Linked DNA regions of Notamacropus eugenii. The protein of the gene in region 2 purifies or fractionates together with the protein of the main gene of each other region. This does not show direct contact. Links are inferred from orthologs where the notes say so. Each region holds a gene or a part of one and is shown on either strand. Other genes may lie near its edges.

What was found. Proteins that work in one complex are often made in the same cells at the same time.
Region 1: the proteins of ABCC1 (region 2) and VDAC3 fractionate together in Homo sapiens (co-fractionation; 3 studies listed by BioGRID). This does not show direct contact. The link is inferred for Notamacropus eugenii from reciprocal best matches to the Homo sapiens genes ABCC1 and VDAC3.

Annotation. Positions count from the first base shown.
Region 1 is NC_092872.1:618,133,745-618,143,845, forward strand, and holds the start of VDAC3 (non-selective voltage-gated ion channel VDAC3), read right to left. Parts: upstream 3,769-10,101; 5' UTR 3,663-3,768; intron 3,320-3,662; exon of another isoform or gene 3,244-3,319; intron 559-3,243; 5' UTR 554-558; coding exon 487-553; intron 1-486. UniProt on the Homo sapiens protein: Non-selective voltage-gated ion channel that mediates the transport of anions and cations through the mitochondrion outer membrane and plasma membrane.
Region 2 is NC_092872.1:96,267,601-96,277,582, forward strand, and holds the start of ABCC1 (multidrug resistance-associated protein 1), read left to right. Parts: upstream 1-6,058; 5' UTR 6,059-6,144; coding exon 6,145-6,594; intron 6,595-6,606; exon of another isoform or gene 6,607-6,888; coding exon of another isoform or gene 6,889-6,936; intron 6,937-9,982.

The sequences.
Region 1 (10,101 bases), about 520 Mb from region 2:
ACAAGCAACCATAAGCTGCAAAGAGGCAACTTAATCTCAATGTCAGGAAAAACTAACAATTAGAATTGTCCAAAAATAGAATAGGCAACCTGGAGATGTAGTGGATTCCCTCTCAATGGAGGTCTTCAAACAAAGGTTAGATGACTATTCGTTTGGGTATATGGTAATTTGGATTCTTTTTGGGGCATGAGTTGGACTACATGATTACTGAGATCCACTCCAACCCTGAAATTCTATGATTATGGGTAAACACGGTATCTGACTACTTATTTGCCAGTCTTCTGCACTGCCTAACAAGAATATGTTATAGAACTAGCAATAAAATAAAAGCAAAAAAAAGTGTCTTAAAATATATTTCTTCTCTTAATGAGTATCAGGGCTTTAATATAAACCTGTTTGTTACCTCTCTAAACAACATGAAATCAGTTAAAATAATAACACTATTTTACAAGCAAAGGAACAAAAATTCAGTAACAGCATACATACCATATCCTTTGTTGAAGACATCTTTGGCAGCCTTTCCTAGGTCACAGTAAGTTGGTGTGTCACACATTTCTTCTGAGAAAAACAGAAACAAAGAAATAGAATTATTTAAAACAAACAGAATAGCTCTTCCATTACCTCGTTCAATAAAAGGGCTAGTGCTCTCTCATTAACACAAGAAAAGCAAATAGTTAAATTATCAGTATCAAAATCTTATCAGTATCAAAGAAGTATTTAACTCTAAGAAGCTTAAAGCTCATCTACTATTTAGATACACTCCAGATTTCAACATTTAACATGACTAAATTAACATTTAACATGCTCAGAAATGAGCAACAAGAGAGACGTTTGCATCCAGGCCTGTAATAATACAATACTAGGAAAAAAAACACACTTGGTAACACATTCCCGTATTTAAATTAAATTTTGTTAACCATCAGATGACACAATTATAAAAGGCTAAAAGACATAAAATCCTAGGAGATCATTCTGTTGTTTCTAAGGGATCTTTTCCAGATGAAAACTAAAAAAGCACTCTTACAATATTCGGAGATGCTCTTGATAGAATATAAAAGAACTCTTCTTTTAAATGCAACCAGATATACAAATCAATAATGTTTGAGATGTTTTTTAAACAACATGCAAAAAACCTCTCTAAGGATGTTATAAAAATCGAAGTAAAAAGCATCTCAGCTGCAGAGTAAAATAAGCAGAACCATGAGAATATACAAAATGACTTCGTTAAGGTAAATGAAAAGATCACCAAAAGGCAGTTGAATCTCAAGTAACGAAAAAATCAATAAGGGCCTTGGAAAAGAGATACTGAACACACCTCCATAGCAGAGGTGGGAGACTACTAAGACAGAATATCGTACACATTGTCAGACAAGGTTTCTTTATTGAACATAGTGGCAAAAGAGTTTTCATTGTCACAAGGGAGAGTTCAACCTTGGGACATAAAGGGTAAGAAATGACGGGTATGTAAACACAAAAGACAACAACGAAATAAACAAAAAGCACAGCAGGGAAACCTTTTATGAACCCTGGAAAAGAAGACAACAAACTCAACACAACTTTGCAAATTCAGTCCTTCAAAAAATGAATTATCCTACAACTGAACATCATTCACTAAAAATGGAGTTCTGAAACCAGGCCTATATACAATAATCTATGGGGCTGAAAATCTTTCTGATCCCAAGATAAAAATGGTGCAAAGCCAAAGATGAAATTTTTCAAAAGTCCAAAGTGGCTTGAACTTTCACCTTCATTATGAAATATTCATCACTTGCCATCATCATTTTTGCCAAGTTCTCAGAGAAGACATTGCATTTGTGGGTCTCACGTTTCTCTGCCCTCTTTATTTTAATAAGAAATCTATTCCTGCAGTAGGTTACGTTTCTGACGCTCAGATTTAAAAGACTAAATCAAGCAAGTGCAGAACGATTTCAAAGTGTCCCTTTGGTCAAACTTGTGATTATTACTAGGAAACATAGTGCTCCTGAAGGCACAGTCTGGGTACCTGGACTATTCGCATACTTATTAAAAAATATGTTAAGTGAATGATCCCATTCTTAAACCTAGCCCTCGGCTAGTTATTTAATCTAAACCCACAGAATACTGCAAAAAAAAAAAAATTAAAGAAAAAAGTTTACCTGTTCAAAAAAGAGTAATGAATGATCTCTATCAACCTCACTAAATAGTATAAACTTTAATTTTGTCCTGAAATAAAGTTTCACATTTTACTTCTAGAACAATTTTATCTTACAAATAAGACCTTATTAAAGTCTCTATAATGTTTTTATTTTTAGGAGACACTGTCTAATTTATTCCTACAAAGTGTTTTAGTTTTTTACTCAACTTCAAAACCTCCCCCAAATACTTAGTGCAAATTTTATGATCTAGTTTCTGTTTTCTTTACTGATTTCTACTCTCTTGGCCCAATGTCATTTTTTCCAAATGTTAATTAATGGCATTTTAAAAAACGGTGGGTAAGAAGCATCTGGTGCTTCCTTTTGCTACAGAGTCAGTGATGTTTTGTGCAAGTTATCTAAGTGAATTCGAGCTACTGAGCTCCGGTACGCACCACGTGTAGCTAGTTTTTAGAGAAATTCAAAGAACAAATCACCGAGATTTCGTTACTATGTCAGCCGCCCCGGGTCACGCCTTCGGAGTTCTGGACAGAGCACGTCCTCGGTTGGACTTTAAACAGCTTATCTCGGAGGGAACCCTAGCACTCCAGAGGAACAATTTTCCTCCACTACGATCACCTTTCCTCTATTAACGGAGCTTGGGCAGAGACGCCAGGACCCAAGGGCGCCGGCGCGGCCGCGGCTCCTCCTACGGACCCCAGCGGGGGGTCCGGGCGCCAAGTTCCGGGAGCAGGTGACAGCCCCCCGCACCCCGGCACGCTCCCGGGCACGTTCGGAGGCTCGCGGTAGGCGCTCCAGACATTCAGATTAGGGCTGAGAAGGGGCGGGCTCCCCCTCCCCCCGCGTCTGCTCGCCCGCCCGGCCCGGCCCGGCCCGGCCCAGCCCCCTCTGCCCCAACACAAAACCTCCAGCCTCGCTCCCTCCCTCTCTCTCACCACTCCCCTATTCCGGCGCTTCCCCGCCCCCAAGACGCCGCTCTCACAGTTACAAAGCGTTCTCTTCTCCTCCCCCCGTCCATTCCGCCTTCTCTTCGTATTCCACCCCAATCCCCAGAGCCGTCCCCCCAGCCTCGGGCCGGCCTGCGTAGCGCGCGAGCCTGCGGCCTCCTCACCTCTAACTGAGAAGCCACTCTCTCCTCTTCACCAGGGCAAAGCTGAAGGTCTTCTCCACACCGACCCCGCCTGCGCCTGCGCCGAAATCGCTGTCCCAGAGCGGCGCCTGCGCACCGCTGGACGCTGCTTCTTCCGCCCCGCCCCAGCCGCTCTCCCAACCCCACCCCGGAGCGGCGCTTCGGTGGCGCCTGCGCACCGCCGCACGCTGCTTCTTCCGCCCCGCCCCGCCCCGCCCCAGCCGCTCTCCCAACCCCACCCCTGAGCGGCGCTTCGGTGGCGCCTGCGCTCTGGTTTTCTGGCACCTGCCGAGGGGAGTGGCGGAGCGGCGAGGCGTGGGGTGGTGGGGGGAAAGGGAGAACCAAGGTGTCTGGGAGGGCGCCAAGCTATCCCCACAAGTTCCGGACCCTCTGTCGCTTACCGTGTACACGTGCGCGGGAAGGGTCCCCGACACACAGGGTGGCCGAGGGGCTGGGCGAGCGACGGGATGGACGCTAGAAGAGTACGACCATCGCGGAACGTGGCTGCTCTCGCGAGAACTGCCGTGGGCGGGACCGGTTTCTGTTACCGAGGCGTGAGAAGGCGGAGCGTGGCTGGTCCGGAGGGCGAGCCTGGGACTTCGACGTCCTTTCCAGGTGCGGCTCCGTGTGACCCTGGGGGAGTCACTGCCGTGCTCCCGCTCCAGTCTGCTCCTAGAGAGATGGAGAAGGTCATCATCGGAGGTGGTTGTGAAGGTCGCGCTGGAGAATATGAAGGGCTTGGCAGACGCTTCGAAGGGCGCGGTGAATGAGTGGGGTTGTATTTTGTATTATTTAGGAGGTGGGGAACCTGCGGCCTCTCGAGGCCTCGCAGTGAGGGCCGCGCTTGAGGACCTAAGGTGTCGGAGCTGGAAGAGCCCTTAGAGACCACCTAGTCCAGATGAGGAAGCTTGAAATTATTCGTGTGAGGTTTAGATTCAGTTAAAGGGCTGCACTCGAGGCCCTAGAGGGCCACGTGTGGCCCGGAGGCCGCAGGTCCCCCACCCCTGGCCCTGGACCATTCTGCTTCCATCCTGAGTGGACGCTTTGGACGTTTTAATTTTATGCTTTACCCGGAAATGGTTAAAAATTAAATGACGTGATAGTAGTAGCTAACATTTCTGTAGGCCTTAGCATAGGCCAGGCCCTGTGCTAAGCTCTTTACAATTATTATTTGATCCTCACAACAACGGGGGGGGGGGGGGGGGGGGGGGGGGAGGGAGTGGTGTGTTATGAGATCAAGTAGAAAAGGACGGTTTATTTATTGACTGGGACCTTCCTACAAAGCCTGAAGTTAAATCAGATAAGTCTTAAGAAACCTATATCATATTACGTATTTCAGTTTGGAAGGTATCCAGAAGGTCACTTAGTCTCTTCTATCCACCCCCACATTTTATAGATCAGGAAACCAAAGCTCTGAGAAGTCCAGTGTTCTGCCCTAGGCGGCCCACTTAATGAGTGCTAGAGGCAGGGTTGAAATCCAAGTCCATTAACTGCACATTACATTGTGTTTGCATCACATTGCCTTGAAGAAGAGATCTAACCTGGACTGGCCTGAGCCGTTGACATGAGGGCAGTATGAACAGAGATATGGAAATTGTTCTTTTCAATAGCTCTTTTTTCAAAGGCCTTGGTCTTTCTTCCCTATGAGAGCAACCTCAACTCATCTACATGAGCCTGTTCTCCTTCCCTTAGGTATTGAAAAAATTCTCCCCTAAGATTTATCTCAAATAATAGTCTGCTAAAATTACAGCCTCAGAATAATTTGGCTTTCTTCCCCTTTCTACTCTTTCCTCATTCTTCACAAATAATGGAAATATCAGGAGTCAGTTATTTTTCACCTTAGTCTCCTACTTAAATAGTCCAACATTTAAAGTTAGCATGTGGGTGAACCTGAGTTCTCAGGACCTACCAGATTTGGAAAGCTTTAAATATGGGCATGACCATGGACTGCATATGCCTTGTCCAAGGATCTTTCTAGCTTACTCTGAGGAAATTTAGTCACAGCATCTCATGGAGAAAACCTACCAAGACATGTAGAAGTGATCAGGTACTTCTAATATTTTTTCAATTGTATATAAAGACAATTTTTAACATCCATTTTTAAAATAAAATGTTGAGTTCCAAATTTTCTCTCTTACTCTTTCCCCTCCCTCCTCCCTAAGTAGGTAAGCAATTTGATATATGTGTAATAATGTAAACCTCATTTTCATGTTAGTCATGTTATGAAAGAAGAAACAATAAAAGGAAAAAAACTACAAAAAAAAAAAGTGAAAATGATATGCTTTGATCTGCGTTCAGACTCCATCAGGTTCCTTTTCTGGATGTGGATAGCATTTTCCATCATGAGTCTTTTGAAATTGCCTTGGATCATTGTATTGTTGAGAAGAGTTAAGTCAGTTATAGTTGATCATTGCAAAATGTTGCTCTTACTGTGTACAATGTTCTGGTTCTACTCACTTCAGTTTGTATCGGTTTATCTAAGTCTTTTCAGTTTTTTCTGATGAGGTACTTCTTGATAAGTGCCTCAAAAATCACATTGCTAGAATGGTTTGAGACTAGCCAGCTGGTGGAATAGGAGGACAGTCCTTCCAGCCTATTCATTCCAACCCCTATATGAACAAAGATCTCAGACAAGTACAAGATTGAATAGTGATCAGAAATCTAGGAAGAGATCAGAGTGGATCATCTTTCCAAAACAGGTTCAGCCCACAGGCAAGAGACCAGGGCAGGAACTCTGAAACAGAGGCAGCCTCAGAACATGGAGCCAGACTCCAGGAGCAAAATAGGGAGATTAAGATCTCAGACTCAGGCCTTGAGTATAGGTCTATTTCTTTAATCCAGGTTGGACTCATTCCCATACAAAGAATAGGGCCTCAGCATTTTCCATGTAATTGCTTGAAGAGGGAATCTGAGACTTGGGATATAGCTGCATGGCACAGGGATTCCAGCTCTGTTAAGGCCCATGGTGCTGTTGTTCTACCCAAGAGAGGGAATCTCAGAACCAAACTTCTGGAGCAGAAGAGAACCACAACTCTGACTCTATAACCCACGAGAAGGGATCTTGGGACTCAAGTTCAGTGCTGAAGCATGGGCCAAAGCATGGTTGTTCTGACCCCAGCAGCAGAACTACGGATAAAATAGGCCAGAACTATTCAAAGCAATGAGTTTCACCAGAAATGAGCAGTGCCTGACCCTAAGACAAAATCCTAATCTATGAAGTAAAACTGGGGAAATGAGTAAATAAAAAAAGACAAAACACCATTATGATACCAGGTATAACCAAGTCACAAATTCAGAAGAAGAGAATAATTCTAAAACTTTTAAAGCAAAGTCTCAAAAAAACAAAAATAAAACCCACTACAAATTGGTACAAAATCAATTACAGTCTCTAGAAGACATGAAACGAGATTTGTTGGGTTTTTAAAAAGCATTTAAAACTACTATAAGTTAGATGAAAACACTAAAGGAAGGAATTGAAAAGAAATGGAGGTATGGAGGAGAGAATCATAAAAGAATTGGCAGCTAAGCATAAGAGGTACAAGACCTTACCCAAATAACAGACACCTTGAAAATTACAATGAACTGAACAGAGTTAAGTTAATGACTCTAGGAGAGAAAAAAATATTAAGATAAAAGACTGAAAAAAATAGAGAAAATGTAAGATATCTCACATCAAAAAGCAACTGGCCTGGAAAATAAAACAAGGATTGATAATTTAAGAGTACCAGAAATGCATGACCAAAAAAGGAGTCTGGGTATCATATTTCAAGATATTATGAAAGAAAACTGCCCAGATCTGTTAAAACAAGGGCAAATTGAAAATAGAAAAGAATCCATCAATCATCTCTTGAAAGAAACTCCAAAGTGAAAACTCTCAAGGGCATCATAGACAAAGTCTAGAGCTTCCAGGTCAAAGTAGCCAGCAAGAAAATTCTCAAGAACTGAGGAACCATAGTTTTGATCACACAAAATTTATCAGCTACCGGTATAAGAGCATGGAATGTAATATTCCAAAAGGCAAAAGATGTAGGCCTACAGCCAAAAATAACAATTGTAATCTTACAGGAGAGAAAAATAGACCTTCAATGAAACATAGGACTTCCAGGCACTCCTGATGAAAAGACCAGAACTGATTGGAAACTTTGAAATGTAAACACAGGAGGCAAAAGAAACATAAAAAATTAATACAAGGGAACAATAGGAAGAAACTTTATAAGGATGAACTGTTTATATTCTTTTGGGAGAAGAGAATGATGAAAGCTACCTCCAGAACCTTAATGTCACAAGTTGTTGTTGTTATTGTTCAGTCATTTAGTTGTATCTGACACTTTATGACCCATGGACTGTAGCCGTCAGACCCTTCTATCTTCCACTACCTCTTGATATCTGTCCAGGGTCATGTTCATTGCTTCCATGACACTATCCATTTCATCCTCTGCTGTCCCCTTTTCCATTTGCCTTCAATCTTTCCCAACCTTTTAGTCTTTTCCAACGTGTCCTGTCTTATTATGTGGCCAAAATATTTAAGCTTCAGCTTCAGTATTTGACAATTCAATTTGAATTAATTTCTTTAATTATTGATTGATTTGATTTCCTTGTTGTCCAAGGGAATCCCAAAAGTCTTCTTAGCACCACAGTTTGAAAGTATTGATTTTGTGGCACTCAGCTTTCCTTATAGTCCAACCCTCACAGCCATACATTGCCAGTGGAAAAACCCTAGCTTTGACTATATGGACCTTTGTTGGCAAGATAATGTCTCAGTTTTTTAATATGCTGTCCAGATTTGCCATAGCTTTCCTTCCAAGGACCAAGCATCTTTTAATTTCATAGCTGCTGCTACTGTCTGCAGTGGTCGTTAAGCCCAAGAATATAAAATTTAACACTGCTTCCATTTCTTCTCCCTCTGTTTGCCAAGAAGTGATGGGACCAGTTGCCAAGATCTTAGTTTTTTTATGTTAAGCTTCAAGCCAGCTTTTACACTGTCCTCTTTCACCTTCATCAGCAGACTTACTTCTTCTGGCAACCTTAATTCTGGCTTTTGTTTTGTCCAGTCTGGCATTTTGCATATTATTTTCTGCATATAAGTTAAGTAAATAGGGTTACAATATATAGCGTTATCATATTCCTTTTCCAATCTTAAGCCAATCAGTTGTTCCAGGTTTGATTAGTGTAGTCAGTGAAGCAGAAGTAGTTTTTCTGGAACTTCCTTGTTTTCTCTGTAATGCAACAAATGCTGGCAATTTGGTCTCTAATTCCTCTGCCTCTTCAAGAACCATCCTGCTCTTCTGGTAATTCTTGGGCCACATGTTGCTTAAGACTAGTCTGCAGAATCTTAAGCATAACCTTGCTGGCATGTGAAATGAGTGTGGTTCTTCAATAATTTGAAGATTCTCTGATGTTGCGCTTTAAGATTGGTACATAAATTGATCTTTTACAATCCAGTGGTTGCTATTGAGTTTTCCAAATTTGTTGGCATATTGAGTTTAGTATTTTAACAACATCATCCTTTAGGATTTTAAATACCTCAGTTGGAATTCCTTCACCTCCACTAGCCTTATTGTTAGAAATGTTTCCTAAGGCCCACTTGACTTTGTTCTGCAGGGTGTCTAACCAAATCAGTAACCACACCATCATGGTTACAGGTAATATTGAGGTCTTTCCTGTATAGTTCTTCTGTATGGTCTTTCTAACTCTTCTTAATCTCTTTTACTTCTCTTAAGTCCCTACCATTTTTGCCTTTTGTCATGCCCATTTTTTTAAATGAAATTTTCCCCTGATATTTCTGATTTTCATGAAGAGATCTCTTGTCTTTCCCATTCTGTTGTTTTCTTCTATTTCTCTGCATTGCTCATTTAGGAAAACTTTCTTATTTTTCCTTGCAACTCTCTGGAATTCTGCATTCAATTAGATACAGCTTTCCTACTTTCTTCGTCTATTTGTAAAGCCTCATCAGACAGCCATTTTGCTTTCTTGCTCTTTTTTTTTCTTTGAAATGTTTTTTGTTGCTGGCTCCTGTACAGTATTGCAAATCTCTGTTCATAATTCTTCAGGCATTCTCTCTATCAGAGCAAAAGCCTTATATCTATTCATCACTTCCACTTCATAAGGGATGTTATTTATTTAGGTCATACCTATTCAGTCTGATGGTTTTCACTACTTTCTTCAATTTAAGCCTAATTTTGCAATAAGAAACTCATGATCTGAGCCACAATCAACTTCAGGTCTTGTTTTAACTGGCTGTATAGAGCTTCTCCACCTTTGGCTGCAAAGTATATAATCAGTCTATTTTGATATTGACCATCTGGTGATGAGCACATGTAGAGTTGCCTTTTAAACTGTTGAAAAAGAGTCTAGACAACATCTGTCTTGAATCCACACCATGCTTTGGCTTAGCTCTCAATTCTAGTCTTAGCTGGTCTCGTGGAGACCTCTTGTCTGCTCCAATGTTGAAACTAGCCAGGAACCTTCTCTGAGAGCAGATGACACTGTAACCATCAGAACAGTAAGTTCGTGACAAACAGATTTCTTCAGTTTAAACTGATGGTTACAGATACCCTCCATCCTGGAAAGGCCACAATACCTAAGACTTAAATTTGAAAAAACTGACCACTATGCACAAGACAGCTCCAGATGTAATTTTTGTCTTTGGATTCAGAACCATTTTGGTGGTGGCAAAACAACAGGCTTTGGCATGATTTATGATTCCCTTGACTATGCAAAGAAAAGTGAACCAAAGCACAGACTTGTAACGCAAGGCCTGTACGAGAAGAAACAGACATCAAGAAAGCAGCAAAAGGAATTCAAGGACAGAATGAAGAAAGTCAGGGGTACTGCAGAAGC
Region 2 (9,982 bases):
AATCATATCTTCCTGGCTTTGAAACCAGCTTTCTATTTGCTGTACCATGCTCTGTCTCTTTAATATAGCCACCAGTTTAGCAATTATTTTAAAAGATGGACATGTTCTTACTTTGAAAGATTTGTTCCTATTTTACTCCTGCCAGGAACTGTGAGTTCATCAGCGTGGGCACTCCCTACATCAATGCTGATTAAAATTCCCCTAAGAGTTAGTAGCTGGTTTTGGAGAGTTACTATCAAATAAAATTAAATTAAATAAAATTAAAAATCATCATCCTGGGAACACCATGGTAATGAGTCTCTCTGTACTTGGCCATGCTGGCCTATAGGCCACAGATACATGTGACTTATCACTTCAGTATATACTTTCAGACTTTCCATTTTGGTAGAATCTGGCATAGCGTGTATTCTGTTATCATTAGCCTTCAAGAATTCAGGGTAACCTTCTTATCATGATGAAGCTACGGAATAAGAATTTAGTGGAATTTTGTTCTTAGTGAGTCTATATTGGCATTTAGTAATCAATGATTACATTTCTAAGTGCTCATGAATCATCTGTTTAATAATTCATTTTAGGAATTTTCTAGGGATCTGTGCTAAGTACACTATTCTGTAGTTTCTAGGGTTTACCTCTTCCCCCTTCTTAAAAATCAGGACTTCTCCCATCTCTGCCCCTCTTTTAGTCTTTCGGTGTTGTTTTTTTTCCTTCCATTCTTCGTAGTTACAAAAAAGAATGATTGTAGTTCACTTTTGAGGTCTCCTAGTTCTTTTGGTACACTGAGATACAATTCTAGGTTCAGAAGCTTCAACTCATTTAGGATAGCTAGGTGCTTTTATTTCTTTTATCTCTGTTTTCCTTTTTCCATTTTTGCAGATAGAGAAAACCCCATTATCTATTAACATTATACCATTGTCCTAAGGTATTCACCTATCCTTTCTTTGTTTTACTTGAACTGAAACATAGCTCTAAAAAATTCTATTTGGTGTCAGTATTTTCCACGAAGCTTAATTTATTTTTTCCACCTTTCTGGCACCTAGCACAGTGCCTGACACAGTGTAGGTGTTTAATAATACTTGATTGTTTTACTTGGCCTCCCGGAGGAAGTGGCATGAGTCTGAAAGAAAGAAAAAAGAATAGGGGATTGATAGGAATCTAGGACCAGGAAAGGAGCCCACCTCCGATTCATTGTACCCCATCTCCACCTATAGAACTACCCTGGCTTCCTTCAAGACTTAACTGAAAAGTCCTCTCCATTTGTTAATGCATTCCATGTTTTCTGCATGTATTTGTAAGTAAATAGATCAGGGGGCTGTGTGTGTGTGTGTGTGATGGACCCCCTCTGGCAGCCTGGTAAAGCCTATGGACTCCTTTTCAGGATAATGTTTTTAAAGGTATAAAATAAAATACATAGGATGTGAGCTCTTCCAGAGCAGAAACTGTCTTTTGTTCTTCTTTGTTTTCCCAGCACTAAGCTCATTGCTTGGCACATAGTAGACGATTAATATTTACTGACTGATTGACAAAAGTTACCAATCATAATGAAATAGTTATCAAAATATTTTTTAAAAACCCCACAAGTTCACAGACCTTTTATTCAGTTTGTTTCTACCTTCAGTTTGTTTGTGCATAGTTCTTGGTTTATTGTTTCCATGTTTGAAAATTTGAACTCTATAAAATCAGAGACTGCCTTTTTACCTCTTTTTGTATCTCCAGAGCTTAGCACAGTGCCTGGGACATAGTAAGCACTATATAAACATTTTATTATTATTCAGGTTGAGACATATGTTTTTGGGATGTGGCTAATTCAGGAATTTATTTTGTTTGACATTACATGATTGTAAAGGGATTTTGTTTTTCTTGCTTTCTCAGTAGAAATAGGAGAAGTGGGAGGGAGAGAAGGTAGATCTTTGAAAAAAATTAAAAAGAAAATCAAAACTAAAAACAAATAAGTATATACGTGTTTGACATACAGTGTTGCTCCTTCTACTAGATATTTTTCTTTAAAAAAATACTCTTTCAGTACTGTATTTCTGTAATGAATATTTTCCCATCAAATGTCAATACCAACAATGAGATTAGTTTTCTTGTGTTAAAAATTTTGTTACCCATGCTGTGGTTCACTGATAGACATTTAAATCCATTAATATTGTAAAGACATCCTCTTCCCTATTGTTTTGCTTCCAAGAGCACTTTCTCCATGACTGTTCTATGTCATTTCTATTTTGCCCTCTACTGCGTCTAATTTTAAAGGAATACCTTTCTTTCCAAATTTCCATTTTGAATCATCTTGATCAGATTGGCAAATCTAAAACATGCTGTTTGTTGCCTTCATAAGATATCATAGGGTATATTTAGATCTGAAAAGTACATTAGAGGTCACCACTCTTCTTCATTGGGCAATTATTCTGATATCGTCAAAATATGTGGGGCTTAGCACTTAATTTTTTTCTACCTGATTTAGGTTGTGTTTTCCTATCTGATTCATTAACTTCTTGAAGGTTAGGGTAGTGTCTTTTACTTTCTTTTGTATCTTGAAGAATACCTGACCATTCTGGGCACATGATAGGCCAAGCATTGGTAACTTTGGGGAATACATGCCAAAGGTAGGACAGGAGATATTTTCAGTGACATGCTGAAGTCCTTCTTATGTCTTATCATGGTATGGTAGTGATCTTGGGTTTTTGAAGGATCTGCCAGGAGATCATGAACACTGCCAACTTTTACCAGTGGAAAACAATGAAAACTATGGGTCTGGCAAGGAACTGTTTGTCATCCCCAAATCAGTCAAGTTGTCTCCAATAATTTATGTAGCAATTAGTAAATATTTATTAAGTGGTATCTATGTATCAGGCACTGTGCTAGGTGCTTAGGATATGAAGAAAGGCAAAATATAAAATGTGCCCTCAAGGACAATATGCAAACAAAATATATATAAACAAGCTATATATAGGATAAATGGGAAATAATCAACAGAGAAAAGGCACTAGAAATAAGGGGAATCTAACAAGGCCAAGTGGGGTTTTATTTTTTTTTTTATTTAAAATTCTTCAATTCTAAACTGTCTCTCCTCTTCTCAGCCTCTTCCACCCATCTGGAAGAGAAGAAAAACAAAACTCATTTCAAATATGTATAGTCATGCGCAACAAATTTCTGTATTTGGCATGCCACAAAAGAAAGAAAAAGAGAAAGGAAGGAAGAAAGGAAAAGGAACTATGCTTCAGGCTTCATGCTTGAGTCCTTCAACTCTTTTTTTGGAAGTGAATAACATTTTTCATAGTGAGCCCTTTGGAACTGTGGTTGGTCCTTGATCAGTTACTAAGTCTTTCAAGGTTGATTATCTTTACAATATTGTTACTTTGTAAATTGTTCTCCTGGTCCTGCTTACTTTACTTTGCACCAACTTCATACAAGTCTTCTCAAGTTTATCTGAAACCATCCCAAATGTGGAGTTTTACCTACCACCTGAAGGAAGTCAGGGAAGTCACCAAGCGGAGATGAGGATGGAGAACATTCCAGTTGTGGGGAAGACAGTGAAAAGTCCTAGTTAGGGGGTGGAATGTCTTGTTAGAGCTACAGCAAAAAGGTCAGTGTCGTTGGAATGAAGAAAGTACATGATATGTGTGGGGGATGGGGATGGGGAGTAAGCTATAAGAAGACTGGAAAGGGGGAGGCAGGTTTTGAAGGACTTTTGACACCAGACGATTTTTATATTTGATCCTGGAGGTCATAGGGAGCTACTGGAGTTAGTGACAGTCTGGAACATTATGGAGTACTCCTGTAGATGACAGATAATTGAGTATTAAAGTAAATCACCGTCACCATGGATTTCTGCAAAATTTCAAGTGAGTTTTTTTTTTTTTAATCTTCCTTTCTCCATCTATTCTCACTACCTCTAATCTCTTCTCTTAATCCACTCCCTGCCTCTCCTGGCAGCCACCAGTTAGTTACCTCATGCTTCACCCAGGCCTCATGCATCCAAATTATTCTTCTCCCCCCAATTCCTGGGGGAGATTGGCAAAACTAACTTTTGAGGGGAACAGAGGTCTGCTCTCATCTCTCTGTTAGGAAGAAGAAATCTGATGTTCAGTTTGCTGTTTTGCTTCTAGGATATGTGGTGGAGATGGAGATTTTGGGGGCTTTCCCTGACCTATGCTACCCCTTTCATTCCACTCCTCTGTTAGCATCTCTTGTACTGTTGGCTAGTATTTACAAAATTCGAAGTCTGCTAAAGCTGATTTTTATCACATTATAGGCAGTCATTCCCTCAGTCAACAAGCATTTAGTAAGCCTTCCCCATGCCAGACCCTGTACTAAGCTCTGGAGATACAAAGAAAGGCAAATGCAGAGTCCTTACCCTTAAGGAGCTAACAATCTACTCGGAGAGACCACATGGAAATACATGTTCACACAAGATACATACAGTGCAAATGGGTTGTATGGAAATCCATATCCTTTATTTCAGTCACTGTTCTCTCGCTTTGGTCTCAGTGTTGTGTGGTGCTGGCCAGGTGCCCAGAGTCTCTGTGTACACAGACTATTACCGTATTTGTTTTCCTTGCCAGAACCTCATAAGGGGAGGGAGGTGAGAGGGGGTGTTGCCATAAGCGCATAGAGAGAAGCAATAGCTCTTGGACGACTTAGGGAACTAGCAAATAAATTAAAGCAAACTTTAATAAGAACAAAAACCAAACCTGCCCATGCTGTTACCAGACTTCTTTAAAGTCACCATCACCACTTTGTCAAAGATAAAAAGTATTTTGTCAATCAGTAGCTATTCTCCTGTGATCACTGAACAGCCTTCATCCTCCCCGATTTGATCCTACATAGATGAGATTTGTACTTACATAACTCCAGGTTTTGTTTTATTTTGAAATCACATCAAGGAGAAAAATAGGGAGTAGGGAGGCAAGGAATCCATAAGATAAGTTTACTGTTTCTCATTTCTTTGTACTTGGATTCCTAGTGCCTAGCACAGAGCCTGACACAATCCAGCCACTTAATAATACTTGGGCCTTCCGGAAGAAGTGGTGTTTTAAGAGTTGTTAGTCTGAAAGGAAGAAATTAGACTAGGGGACTGACAGAGATGTAGGACCAGGAAAGGAGCCCACCTCTGCTTCATTCTGCTCTTGGTTTAAGACTGATCTGGCCTCTCATCTCCACCTATTGAATTACCCTGGCTTCCTTCAAGGCTCACCTCAAAGGCCCCTCCATTTGTTAATGAACTTCATCTTTTCTGCATATATTTTGTAAGTATATAGATCAAGGGGCTGTGTGTGTGTGTGTGTGTGTGTGTGTGTGTGTATGTTTGTGGTGAACCCTTCTGGCAGTGTGGTAAAGCCTATGGACTCCTTTTCAGAGTAATGCTTTTAAATGTATAAGATAAAATACATAGGATGTAAGCTCTTCCAGAGCAGAAAGTTGTCTTTTGTCTTTCTTTGTTTCTCTAGTGCTAAGCTCATTCTCTAATACATACTGGGTACTTAATGTGTATTAACCGATTGACAAAGGTAATCAATCATCATGAAATAGTTAACAAAATATTAAAAAAAAACCCCTCAGAAGCCACACACCCTTTATTCAGTTTGTTTACAGATAGTTGTTGGCTCATGGTCTCCATCTAGTGACTTGTGAGCTCTTTGTGTCTCTAGAGTTTAGCACGGTGCCCGGCACAGAGTAAATGTTACTGTTGTAACGTTCCCCTTTAGAACTGTAAGCTCCTTGGGGGCAGGGACTTTCTTTAACCTCTTTTTATGCCCCCGGTGCCTGGCACATAGTAAGTACTATACATAAACATTATCATTTTTGCTGCAATGGTTACTATTACTGTCTTCCCCTTTTAGAACTGTAAGCTCCTTGGGGGCAGGGACTTTCTTTAACCTCTTTTTATGCCCCCGGTGCCTGGCACATAGTAAGTACTATACATAAACATTATCATTTTTGCTGCAATGGTTACTATTACTGTCTTCCCCTTTTAGAACTGTAAGCTTCTTGGGGGCAGAGACAGTTTTTTTCCCACCCCCCAGCGCTTAGCACACCTTTATGTTTGACTGGTTTGATCCTAGATTTTCTCCCAGGTGTCTGCCCCCATTAGAATGTACAGCTCCCTAGAAGGCTGGGACTAGTGGAGTGAGTGTGTGTGTATGTATGTATGTGTGTCTGTACATGTTTTCTATGTATCCTCAGCATGTTTGTGTGTATGTACGTGTTTTCTCTGTATCCCCGGCGTGTGTGTGTCTGTGTGCGTGTCTGTGTGCGTGTGTGTACGCGTTTTCTCTGTATCCCCGGCGTGTGTGTGTGTCTGTGTGTGTCTGTGTGTGCGTGTGTGTACGCGTTTTCTCTGTATCCCCGGCGTGTGTGTGTGTCTGTGTGTGTCTGTGTGCGCGTGTGTGTGTACGCGTTTTCTCGGTATCCCCGGCCCTGGAACACGATGAACGTTTCCTCCGTGTGTCTGGCTGCTCGCTCGGCCGAGGGACCAGGGCGCTGGTTCGGGAGGGCGGCATTTGGGGCGGCCCGGGATGGGCAGGCAGAGGGCCGCCCCGCGCCCCCGCCTTCCTCAGTTTCCCTCCCCAGCCCCCACCCCCAGCGCTTCCGAAGGTGAGCGCGGACGACTGGGCGGAGCCGGGCCCCATCCCGGTGACGTGCGGGCCAACCAGGCGGCGTTGCGGCTGCCCGGGTTACCTCCCGGCCCGCCGCGGCCGCCGACGCCTCCTCCTCCTCCTCCTTCGCCTCCTCCCGGCTTTCTCCTCTCCCCTCGGAGCAGCCGCCGCCGCCTCTGACGCCTCCAGCCTCCGCACTCGCTGCCGCCGCCGGCAGCTCGGCCGCCGGTCCATCCGTCCTCCCGCCGGCCCGGCCCGGCCCCGGCCCCGGCCCCGGCCCCGGCCTGGCCACATGGCGTTCCTTCGTTTCTGCAGCGCGGACGGCTCCGACCCGCACTGGGTAGATAACGCGCGGGGTTGGGGAGAGGCCGCTCCTGGGCTGGGGAGGGCAGGGCCGGCCCGGGGCCGCCCGAACGGGACCCTGGACGCCCCGCCGGGCCAGCCCCCGGGCCGCGGGAGGGCGAGCCGGGACTTACTGGTCCGGCCCGGCAGGGCCACCTGGACTGCAGCTTCGGAACCTGGGGGAGGGGACGGCCGCGGCATCCTGCCCGGCACGCTCCGGGGGCGCCCGCCGAGCCTGCCCCCCGCTGCTCACCCCAGGCGCCGGCGGAGACTCGGCGGGTGGGAGTCTGTTTGGGGCGAATTGGGAGCCCCAGGAGAAGGGGGTGCCGGGGGTGGGGCGTCTACTTAAGTGGTGAAAATGGCTGGGCGCTGACTTCCCCATCTGCCCCTTACCCCGCCTGCCCCTTATCTCTGTCTGCCCCTTACCCCCCCCCCCCCCCCGCGCCTTACACCCCCATCTACCCCTTACTCCCATCTGCCCCTTAGCCTCCCCTCCCGTGGGACCCTCGGTGGAGAGAAGTGTAGGGAGAACTTCAGTGCCCCAGCCGCGTGACTTGAGTAGCCCACGTCCCTGGGGAGTACACGCGTGGCTTAGCTTTGAGACTGAAAAGAGCACGCGGGGGATGGGGCTTTGGGTTGTGTGGATGTGGGAGCTTGTCTGGGGGGCTCCCGGCCCGGCTCGGCTGCTGCCTTTCAGCTGAGTGAGTGGCATTGGGGGCATTTCATTAGATCCACAGAGGTACTTTTCCTTCTTGTGGTTCCATGCAAAGAAATGCACTTAGGGGATTTGGTGGAAAGTTTGGGGTTGATTCTGACTCCTCCCTCCAAGTCAGGGAATGAATTTATTGTGGGCCCCCATTGGAAGTCACAAAGCGTGACCGAGCTCTGCTGTGTGTTGTCCTTTCTTTGTGCCACTGGGGGAAACCACTAGAAGGGACCACTAGGCAGGAGGTCGGGTTCCCCACTGCTGATGCTCTGGGCTCAGTAGCCGGGGAAGTCAGAAACAAAACAAAACACTGTAACAGTAAAAAATGAATCCCGTGGTAGTTTGGTGCAGGAGGTTTTTGAGGAGGCATCTCCAGGAGTGAGGGACCTGAGAACACATAATCAGGATGCTCCAAGGAGGATCCGTGTTAACTCACATTATTACCTTTCCTTAGTTGAGAGTTACTTTCACCATGGCAAACATTGTTTCCTCCTCTGTCTTGAATTAGGGAGTTAGACTTAACAGAAGCTTGGTTACAATGTAAGTTCTCTGACCACATCTGGACTGGAAACTATGTGGGGTCTTTAACGAGGGATTGTTAGGGGGAGGGGAAGAAATTCCTTGTAATCCAGAAGTGGGTAATGGGAGGTCCAACACCCTAAATGCATTCTTTTCATTGTTTTCCTTGCTTCTCTGCATCATAAACTGCATTCAGGTTGTTTGTGTAATTCCTCCCGTTGCCTCAGTAGTACTAGAGGTGCCCGCTCAGTATGGCAGAGCTGAAATGAGCCACTTGTCCTGTTTTCGGTTCACTGGAATATGATATTTAGTCTAGTCTGGAAATATTTAAGATCCTTTAGAGAGATTTAGCAACACAATTTCTACAATGACCAAATGAGATAATATTTTTACAAGACACGTAGCGCAGTGCCTGGCACATAGCAATCCCTGTATAAATGCTTATTCCCTTCCCCTCCCTTTCTCTACAAGGGCCAACTGTAGCAGTCAGGTTGTTGTAGTGGAACTGTTTTGGTTCAAATCCTGTCTCAGGCACTTTTATTACCTAGGTAATCAACCTCTCTGAGCCTGTTTTCTTATCTGTAGAATTCAACTCATCATGGCAGTACCTTTGTTAACCTCCCAACTGTGATTGTGAGGAGCAGCTAGGGGCAGGAGTAAGGAGGACCTGAATTCAAATCTCACCTTAGACACTTGACACTCACTTGCTGTGTGACCTTGGGCAAGTCACTTAAACCCAATTGCCTCATCCTGAGTCATCTCCAGTCATCCTGATGAATCTGGTCACTGGATTCAGATGGCTCTGGAGGAGAAGTGAGACTGGTGACCTTGCACAACAGCCCTCCCTCACTCAAAACAAAATCAAGTGCAAATCATGTCATCATTTCTCTGATGGCATGGTCTTCTTGGGCATCGAAGGATGAACACACATATGATTGAGGATCAAGTGAGACAATGTTTATAAAGCCTTTTGTAAACCCAAAAGCCATAGGTATGTGCCTAATAAATTATTATTACCAGTGGAACTGCTTTAGTGGGAGTTGAGGAGAAAGGTTGAGGCTTTTTCTTCCATTTGTCATCTTACCATTTGTGGCACATAGTTCTGTCAGAATTCATTTGGCTTTGTCAAATTGCTAGTTACCTTGAAATGATGGCAGTTTGTTTTTTCCTAAGTTAATGGAAAATTAGTAAATGATCCTTAGGAGACCACATATTTTCTAGGAAAAGGCTGCTGTTTGCTAATATTTTTCCCTTGAAAATTGTTATGTGGTGATCTTACCAGTTGCCTTAATTCAGGAAAACTCACTCAGGAAGAATCTAAATCTGCCAATTTAATTGTGCCTTTCTGAAATTTTCTGCCATACCTTTCTAGCCAGGTAAATAATAGTCACCAAAGGGCCTCTCCTTAGTTACTAACTGGTCTTTTCTTGCCTGCTAAGAGAGTCATGGCAAACCAGGCCAGTGTGTCACTCCTTTTCTAAAATGCCCTAGTGAATGAGTGGGTGGGGAAGAAGGAAAGCAGGAAAGAAGGCATTAATAAACACCGTAGACAGTTGCATGAGAATAGATGAGAGGACTCCCTGGACATACCTAACCTGCATGCCAATAACATCCAAGCACTAATAAGGCCCTAGTCTAATAGTATGCTGCCCTTCTTATGGGAAGATGGTGTAATTTGTGTTAATCTGATTTCCTCTGTGGTATATTTTTTCCTGGTGGTGGAGACAGGTTGCATTGAGCCATCTGTACTCAGGACAAAGGCCTCCTTGCCATTAAGACCTTACATTTTTTTGTAAGACAGCAGTCTAGGTCCTGGAGG